Macaca mulatta: one gene and its partner. The protein of the gene in region 1 purifies or fractionates together with the protein of each later gene. This does not show direct contact. Links are inferred from orthologs where the notes say so. Each region holds a gene or a part of one and is shown on either strand. Other genes may lie near its edges.

Region 1 (4,286 bases):
TTCATTCCCTCATGCTTTATCATTCACTGGCTCATTGACTAATGGATTTGTTAAAATTTTCATTTACTCTTGTATTCATTCAATCATGCTTTCTTCACTGACTGAAATTTGTCATTTAGCCGTTTATTCACTGTTCATTCATTCACTCATTCACTAATTTACTCAGTCATCCATCTACCTTTTCATTCATTTATCCACATACCCATTCACCTATGCATCTATCTACTTAGAGTTTTATCCTCCCATCAACTCATCCCTCCACTCAGCCATCTACCACCAATCCATCCACCCATCCATCGATCCACACATCCATGCACCCGCTCGTCCATCCACATACCCATCCATCTACCCATACATTCACCCACTTACGCACCCATCCAACTGCTCATTCCTCCATTCACTCTTCCACCTACCCACCCATCCATCCAGAGACACAGGGAAGAATCAGCACGCACCTCCTTGGTCTCCACCTGGGTGCGGGGGCAGGGGTGGAAGCCCTCCTCTTCTCTCTGGGAAGATAGAATGTGTAGAGAGCTATCACAACCCTGCCACAGGTTCCTGGGCTAGCCCCTTATTACCGCTACTTGCACTAGAGTTCTCACCTTCATTGGCTGGTGGTGGTGGTGGGAGTAGCTGGCGTCTGTCTGTGGATAGACAGATGGATTGGGAGCCAGGACCATGAGAGATAACTTTTCTAGTTCCCCATGCTTGCACTCACCTCTGCCCAACTTCCTTTCCTCCCCTGCGGCCTCCTCACCTCCACTTTGCCTCTGATTCCTTTTTTGTATCTTCTCCTGCACCAGGGCCCGGAAGGCCTGGGCCTCGCCCTCGTCTGCAAAGTTCAGCCCCGCTTGGCAGTCCTGCACATATCTTGGGGTCAGCCGCCTCCCAGGTCCCCCCACAGCTTTCCCATCTCCTCTCCACACCCCAAGTGAGGCCCGAGGGCTGGTTGGTCACTTACATCTCCAGCGAAGGTGTGGAAGAAGGGGGTGGGGGTGGAGTAGACAAGCTGTGAGTACAGCTCCTGTTCCCAGAGCAGCCGACCAGCCTGGAGAGGTGTAGGGTGGGAGGCACAGTGGCACTGAGGCACACCAGGGGTGGCAGGCCTTTGTTAGCTGGGCAGGGAGCAGGGTGTCTGGATTTGGGGGCCTCATGGTCTGGTTTGGAGATTTCCAGCTCAGCACCAGAGAGCTGAGATCTAAGGGTGTGGATGTGGAGTATAGTCTGGGAGCCATACACTTTTGTGAGAGGTTTGGATTTGGGGTTCGGGGCCCTAGATGTGGGACTTGGGAGCTTGAATTTCATAATTTAGGACTCTAGTCTTAGGAAGTTGAGGCTCATTCATAGATTCAATCCATGCCCTCCCCTGCCACCCCAGCCCCAATTCATGACAGGTAGGATTCTAGTATTTGGGAGTTGGAGATGAGATTTGAAGTTCAGACACGTAGACTTGGGAGTTTTGCGGAGGGTCCAGCTAAAGTAAGTGCAATTTGGGGTTTGTGGAGAAGAGTTATGACTTAGGAGTTTGGTGAATATTTGACAGTCTTGGGATCTGGAAGTTATGCTGGGTCCATCTTTATGGGTTTAGAAGGATGAATTTGGGGCTTAAACCTAGAAAGTTCAGGTCGGGGAATTGTGGAAAAGACTTTTTGCTTAAGAACCACCTCGGTATTTGAGTGTTCAGGAATTTTAATATGGGAATTCTGGGGTCTGTGCTGTGGATTTAAAAGGACAGAATTGGAGTTCAAGGATCAATGGAATATTCAACTTTGGGGTTTGTTGAACAGATTTATGACTTAGGAGCTTGGCAAACATCTGGGGTTCAGGAGTTTTGATGAGAGATTCCTGGGATGCAAAATGTTGAGTTTAGAATAGATTTGAGGTTCAGGTACAAATACAGTGCTCATTTATTGGAATTTGTGGAAAAGATTAGGCTTAGGCAGCAGACTAATACTGGGGGCTTTAGAGATCTTGATATGGAGACTGGGGCCAGCCATTGCAGACTTAGAAAGGCAAGCCAGAGTTTGCCATCTGGATGAGTCTTTGGTTCTGGGGCTCAGGGATTCACTGATCAGGTCTGAGGTCTTGGGACTGTGGACACATATGGACACAGATCTGGGTTTGCGGGTTGAGAACTGGCTTGCAAGTCCAGTCAGGGGCGGGGGGGGGGTCACCTGAAGGCCGTAAAGGCGAATGAAGTAGGACTTCTGGGGGTTATCCTTCACGAAGCACACAGCCCCACAATGCTCCTTGGTCCAGTGCTCAGCTCCAGGGGGCAGTGCCAGGTACAGCTGAACAACTGCAGTGGCCAGCGTCTGGGAGGGGAAAGCAGGGGTCAGTGGAGTCTGGTCAGGGGTAGCCACAAGGTCTTGGAGCCAGACCTGGTCCTTCCTGCCTCATGACAGTCATGGGCCCGAAGGAAGAGCTGCAGCCAGAGGGAAGGCAAGTAGACATTGAGATCTTCCTGGGGAGGGTGGATGATAACAGGAGAGTCTAGGAGAGAAGATGATGGAGAGGGAAAGGAGGAGCGGGAGGAGGGGAAGAGAGAGAAGGAGGAGAGGAAGAGGAAGAAATGGTGGGGACGGGGCGGGGGCAGGAGATCCCCAGCTCACCAAGCATTTTCGTCCAAGCATCTCGAAGAGTCGCTGGTTCTCGTGGTCCTGGAGGAGGGTGGAGGGTATGTTCTGTTGAACCGCTGGTGCTCCCCGGCCCCCAGGCCTTCCTCCCATTGGGCCCCCACTCATGGTGCTTTCTGCCCTCGTCTTCTCTGGCGAGGCTCTGGGTGCAGGGTAAGAAGAGGAACTTCCGCAGTGAGCAGCAAGGGAACAGGAAGTGCAAAAAACCACAAGGGACAAGGGAAACAAGTCCTCCAGGGGCCCCTTGGTGGGCCTGGCCTCCTCCTCGTTAGGCCGAGCTTGGGCCCTCTACCATCAGATTGGAACCCTCCTCCACTTGACTGCTTAGACCCATCTTTTGGATCAGCTTGGGTCCTCCTCCTCCTTTCTTACTGTCTGAGGCCCATCTCCTTCTGACTGGCTCAGACCCTCTTCCCTCTGGCTGGCAGTGAGAGCTTAGCCATTGGCAGCACATCTGTGTGCAGGGCACCCTGTGGCAAGGAGTAGTCATGGGCCTGGGTGGCCTCCTTCCTAAAGCACCCAGGTAGCCTGAGGCTGAAGCCCAAGGCCCCTAGTCCTGAAGGGTTACTACACTAAAACTTTTCCTTTTCGCTGGGGACAGTAGCTCACACCTGTAATCCCAGCACTTTGGGAGGCCAAGGCGAGCGGATCACTTGAGGTCAGGAGTTCGAGACCAGTCTGGGCAACATGGCAAAACCCCATTTCCACTAAAAAATACAAAAATGAGCCAGGCATGGCGGCATGCACCTGTAGTCCTAGCTGCTCAGGAGGCTGAGGTAGGAGAATCGCTTGAACCCGGGAAGCGGAGGTTGCAGTGAGCTGAGATTGCACCACTGCACTCCAGCCTGGATGATGACAGAGCAAGACTCTTGTCTCAAAAACAGCAACAACAACAGCAACAACACAACAACAAAAACCCTTTTCCTTTTAATTACAGAGTGAGCCCCTGTGATCCACGCCTATCCTGAGTGCTTAGACACTGCCAATGACGCATATGCCTCTGGTTCACTTCCCCATCCCTTACCCTTGCCTCCCTGCAGCTCCCAAATTACTTTCTGCTCATCTTTTTTTTTTTTTTTTTTTTTTTTTTGAGATGGAGTCTCACTCTGTCGCCAGGCTAGAGTGCACTGGCGCGATCTCAGCTCACTGCAACCTCAGCCTCCCAGGTTCAAGTGATTCTCCTGCCTCAGCCTCCTGAGTAACTGGGACTACAGGCCCGCGCCACCACGCCCAGCTAACTTTTTTGTAGTTTTAGTAGAGACAGGGTTTCACCATGTTGGCCAGGATGGTCTCGATTTCTTGACCTCATGATCCGCCCTCCTTGGCCTCCCAAAGTGCTGGGATTACAGGCATAAGCCACCGTGCCCAGCACATCCCTTTAAAAAAAAAAAAGGAACTTTATATCATATATGAATGCCTGAACAACATCTTGTTTAATTTTCATTGCACTTGAAGTTTGTAAAAGCACATAATCTTCAAAGGCTTGCTTTCTCCCCACTGGACATCCTAGTTTTATCTTAACACTCACATAGCACTTAACGTGTGTGCCAGGCACTGTTCTGATCCCTTTGCCCAGAGTGCGAGCCAGGCAGGCCGGGTGTGAGTGCACGTTCTCGTCCCTCCATGCCTTCGCTCCCAGCTGTTGCTATG
Region 2 (3,500 bases), on another chromosome or scaffold:
AATTTAAAGCTGAAAAGAGGAAATGAAAATAGGTAATACCATTCCTGATAATTACTGATATTTAGTGAGGAGAAAAAACCAAGTATCTCACTGCTTCCTATTTTTGCAAAACTTGGCCATAACTTGTTTCCCACTGGCATAAATATAACATATCCTAATACAAGATGCCCTGGTAAAATAAGTGGGATTAAAAAAAATAAATAACACTAGAGCATCTATTTATAGTTTGAAAAGCTAAATATCTCAGAGACAATTTGGCTTTCTTGAATAACCAGATAAGGGAGAAGCACTGGAAAAAAAATTAAGAAAGTGATTTTTGTTTCCAACAGTTGTAAATTAAAATTGTACAACATGTTTTCTAATCTATGTCTCATGTGTCTTTCTGTACGACTGAAGACAATGAATGCATTTTTTAAAATTAAGGCAGACACAATATACTTGGTATTTACAATGGCCTGTGACAAATATAATACCTGGAAATAATTTCTAATTTTTCATTTATTATTGCTATTTAGTCACAGAAAAGATTAACACTCTCCAAGAAATTTATTTTAGCATATGTCATATATAGATATAATAATTTTATATAATGAAAAACCATAACAGAACAGGGCGCCTTTACAAGGAAACAAAGGATAGGCAATAAAGGATTTCTTCCATATAAAGATTCTGATAAGCATTATTTGATTTTTTTTTTCAAAATACAAAACTGTAATATTAGAAGCAAAGGGAAAACAGCAAAGAAAAAAAACAATAAAACAGAAGGCCAAGGATAAGGAACTGTTCTATGCAGATGCACTGCATACATAGTATATATGTATGGGCTGAATTATAATAAAAATACTTATTGTCAATTCTCATAAAGGTTTAGAAACAGCCATTTCCAATCAAGCACGATGGACCCAACATTTTCTCAGTCTTCAATTACATGACAAATTACAGCTATGCAGCAGTCACTTCTGGTCAGCAGTATCATGATAAATGCTTGACAAGATATAATTTTTCTCCTTGTTCACTTGTAAAAATTGGTGCCTTTTTGTAATGTTCTACAAGTTCTTCCATGGTGCTGAATTTACGCTGCCCAATGCAGTAGACAGTCTCTTTTAGTTGGACTTTAAAATGCTTGTTTTTCCCTTGTGCTTTTAGTGATACTGAGAAATCATTTGGCTAAAAGAGAAAAAAAAATACAGTAAACATTTTGAAAGCCCTCTATCAGTATTTTTATATTAAACTAAAAGCTAAAATTTAAGCACTAAGTCCTAGGTACCATGGTAAATTATTTACATAGATTTATCTCCTTTACTCCCTAAAACAAAACCCTTTTTACAGATGTGAAAACTGAGTCTCAGGGAAGCTATTAATAAATTGGCCAGTATCATCCATCTAGTTAACAACAGAGCCAGGATTCAAACCTGTGTAATCAAAAGTCTCTTAACACCCACAGCTCCACCAGTAGACACCCACAGCAAATCCCTTACATATTTGAAGAACAAGAGCTATCTTCTCTCCAGTCAGAGAAACACATGAGAAAGTCTAAGATACCCACCCAACCCCTTTTCAATGTGTAGCTAACAGTAGCTGTCTTAGGGATAACACGCTGAATTCCCAAAAATGAAGAACACACAAATGAGAATTAATCTAAACTTTAAGGAAAGGCCACAAACTCAAATGCCTACAAGAGCCAAAAGAATAACGTAAACAAGTGTCAGAGTGGAAGGGTAGATGGGCAGAGAAAATGACAGTGTATCACCAATCTAAAGAAGTGGTGACTTCTCAGCTGTGATTGTTGCCCCGCAGGAATAGGGTCTCAATGTTGGTAGTTCTTTCAATTTTAAATGGTCCAAAGTCTGAATTTTTACAATAAATATCCTAATATTTAAATATGGGCAATGAATTTAAACGTTTAAAAAACACTGTGAAGGCTAAACAAAATATGCCTACTTGAGACCTAACCTTAAAAAGTATACTGCTAAAAATAATGGTATATATTGTATTTTGTCTTATATTTATGCTCAATTACCCACAAGAAAATACACACAATTCTGCATTCAAGCTATTTTCTTTTTAATTAGGTTTTTTGTTGTTGTTGTTGTTGTTACAGTCTATATCAACCCCCAAAAGCCTCTTTTTCTACAGTTACTCCCAAAGTTTCAAACAGTGAGCCAGATCAGGCAACTAACAGAAAATGGATGTCATCACTCTTCCCTACTGCCAACCAACTGCTTTTCTGAGGGATTAGGCACAGGCCCCATTTTCCTGAACTTCATATTAGAAGTTCAATTAATCTCTCTCCCCACCACACCCCACTTCCACACATTTTCTTTCAAAATTTTGTGCAATTACACATTCCCTTTTGTACAAATATACTCACGCAAAGCCAAGATTAATCATGATTTAATAAATGGAAAAGTAATGATATCTTTTATCAAGGAAAAGGGCATTTTTAAGGAAAATGAGTGTCATCAAATTCTAATATCCTAAACAGTATCTAAGAGACCATGAAACCATACTATTTTTCAACTTTTATGGTTTTATAGTTTTATTGTTTACTAGTATTGCAATATAATTTACCTTTTATTGCAAATGCATTTCAAACACAGTGTTAAAATAGGTTTTTTGAGATTACAATAAAAAGTGTATTCCAATTTCCAGGTAACCAATTTATGAAGAAACTTAGTATCAATTTTTTAAATTCAGGGATTTCCTATGTCATAAGGACTACAGTGACTATCTTCTTACACATTGTATCCAATAGCAATTTTTAAAATGTTTCCCAATTTAATCTACAGTATTATTCTACATTCAATGAAGAAGTCAATGTTCCATTTTCTCCATTTAGTTTAATGCAACAGAAAATATATCAGGAATGCAAAATCAACAGAACTAGAAAAGACCAAATAACTCAGCATGTAGCATCACTGCCACAACTCTCTTTTCATTGAAAATAGATAGCTAGAAAGAATGCTGACTTTAGCTTTGGAACATTTATGCTTATGTTATGTCCCAGCTTGTTACCTGGTTAACTTTAGGGAAGCCACTTAACCTCTCCATTTCTCTTTTTCTTTTTAATACATAGAGCTCTATTTGTATTTACATCTGAAAATCAACTTACCGAAGATTCACTATCTCGAATGAGGAAATCCCCTTCGTGTCCTCTTTCGTTTAATGCCATTTCTGCTTGATGCCTGGTGACTTTGCCATAATACCAAGGATTGCCAGCAAACTTTCCCGTGAGTGAAGGCCTAATGTAATCACACTGTGGAGGTGATGGCTCCAAACCTGAGGTTAATGGATTATTCTGCATAACGGTAACATAGTTTTTTGGTACTAGACCAACCATACCATTGATCTTCCTGCATTTCCACCATTCTGGGTCATTTTCAGGTTTTTCAATAACATCCATTACATCTCCTTTCTCGAAATTAAGTTCTTCATCGTTAGATGAGCTGAATGGGTAAAGAGCCTGTACCACATGCAACACTTGCCCGGTATTTAGGTTA

What was found. The genes of interacting proteins can lie anywhere in the genome.
Region 2: the proteins of WAS (region 1) and NCK1 purify together in Homo sapiens (affinity purification with western blotting; 4 studies listed by BioGRID and IntAct, with this or other methods). This does not show direct contact. The link is inferred for Macaca mulatta from reciprocal best matches to the Homo sapiens genes WAS and NCK1.

The regions. Positions count from the first base shown.
Region 1 is NC_133426.1:48,758,521-48,762,806, reverse strand, and holds the start of WAS (actin nucleation-promoting factor WAS), read right to left. Parts: upstream 2,801-4,286; 5' UTR 2,745-2,800; coding exon 2,613-2,744; intron 2,316-2,612; coding exon 2,175-2,315; intron 1,049-2,174; coding exon 962-1,048; intron 861-961; coding exon 758-860; intron 645-757; coding exon 603-644; intron 510-602; coding exon 456-509; intron 1-455. UniProt on the Homo sapiens protein: Effector protein for Rho-type GTPases that regulates actin filament reorganization via its interaction with the Arp2/3 complex. Important for efficient actin polymerization. Possible regulator of lymphocyte and platelet function.
Region 2 is NC_133407.1:39,960,492-39,963,991, reverse strand, and holds the end of NCK1 (SH2/SH3 adapter protein NCK1), read right to left. Parts: coding exon 3,113-3,500; intron 1,168-3,112; coding exon 973-1,167; 3' UTR 431-972; downstream 1-430. UniProt on the Homo sapiens protein: Adapter protein which associates with tyrosine-phosphorylated growth factor receptors, such as KDR and PDGFRB, or their cellular substrates. Maintains low levels of EIF2S1 phosphorylation by promoting its dephosphorylation by PP1.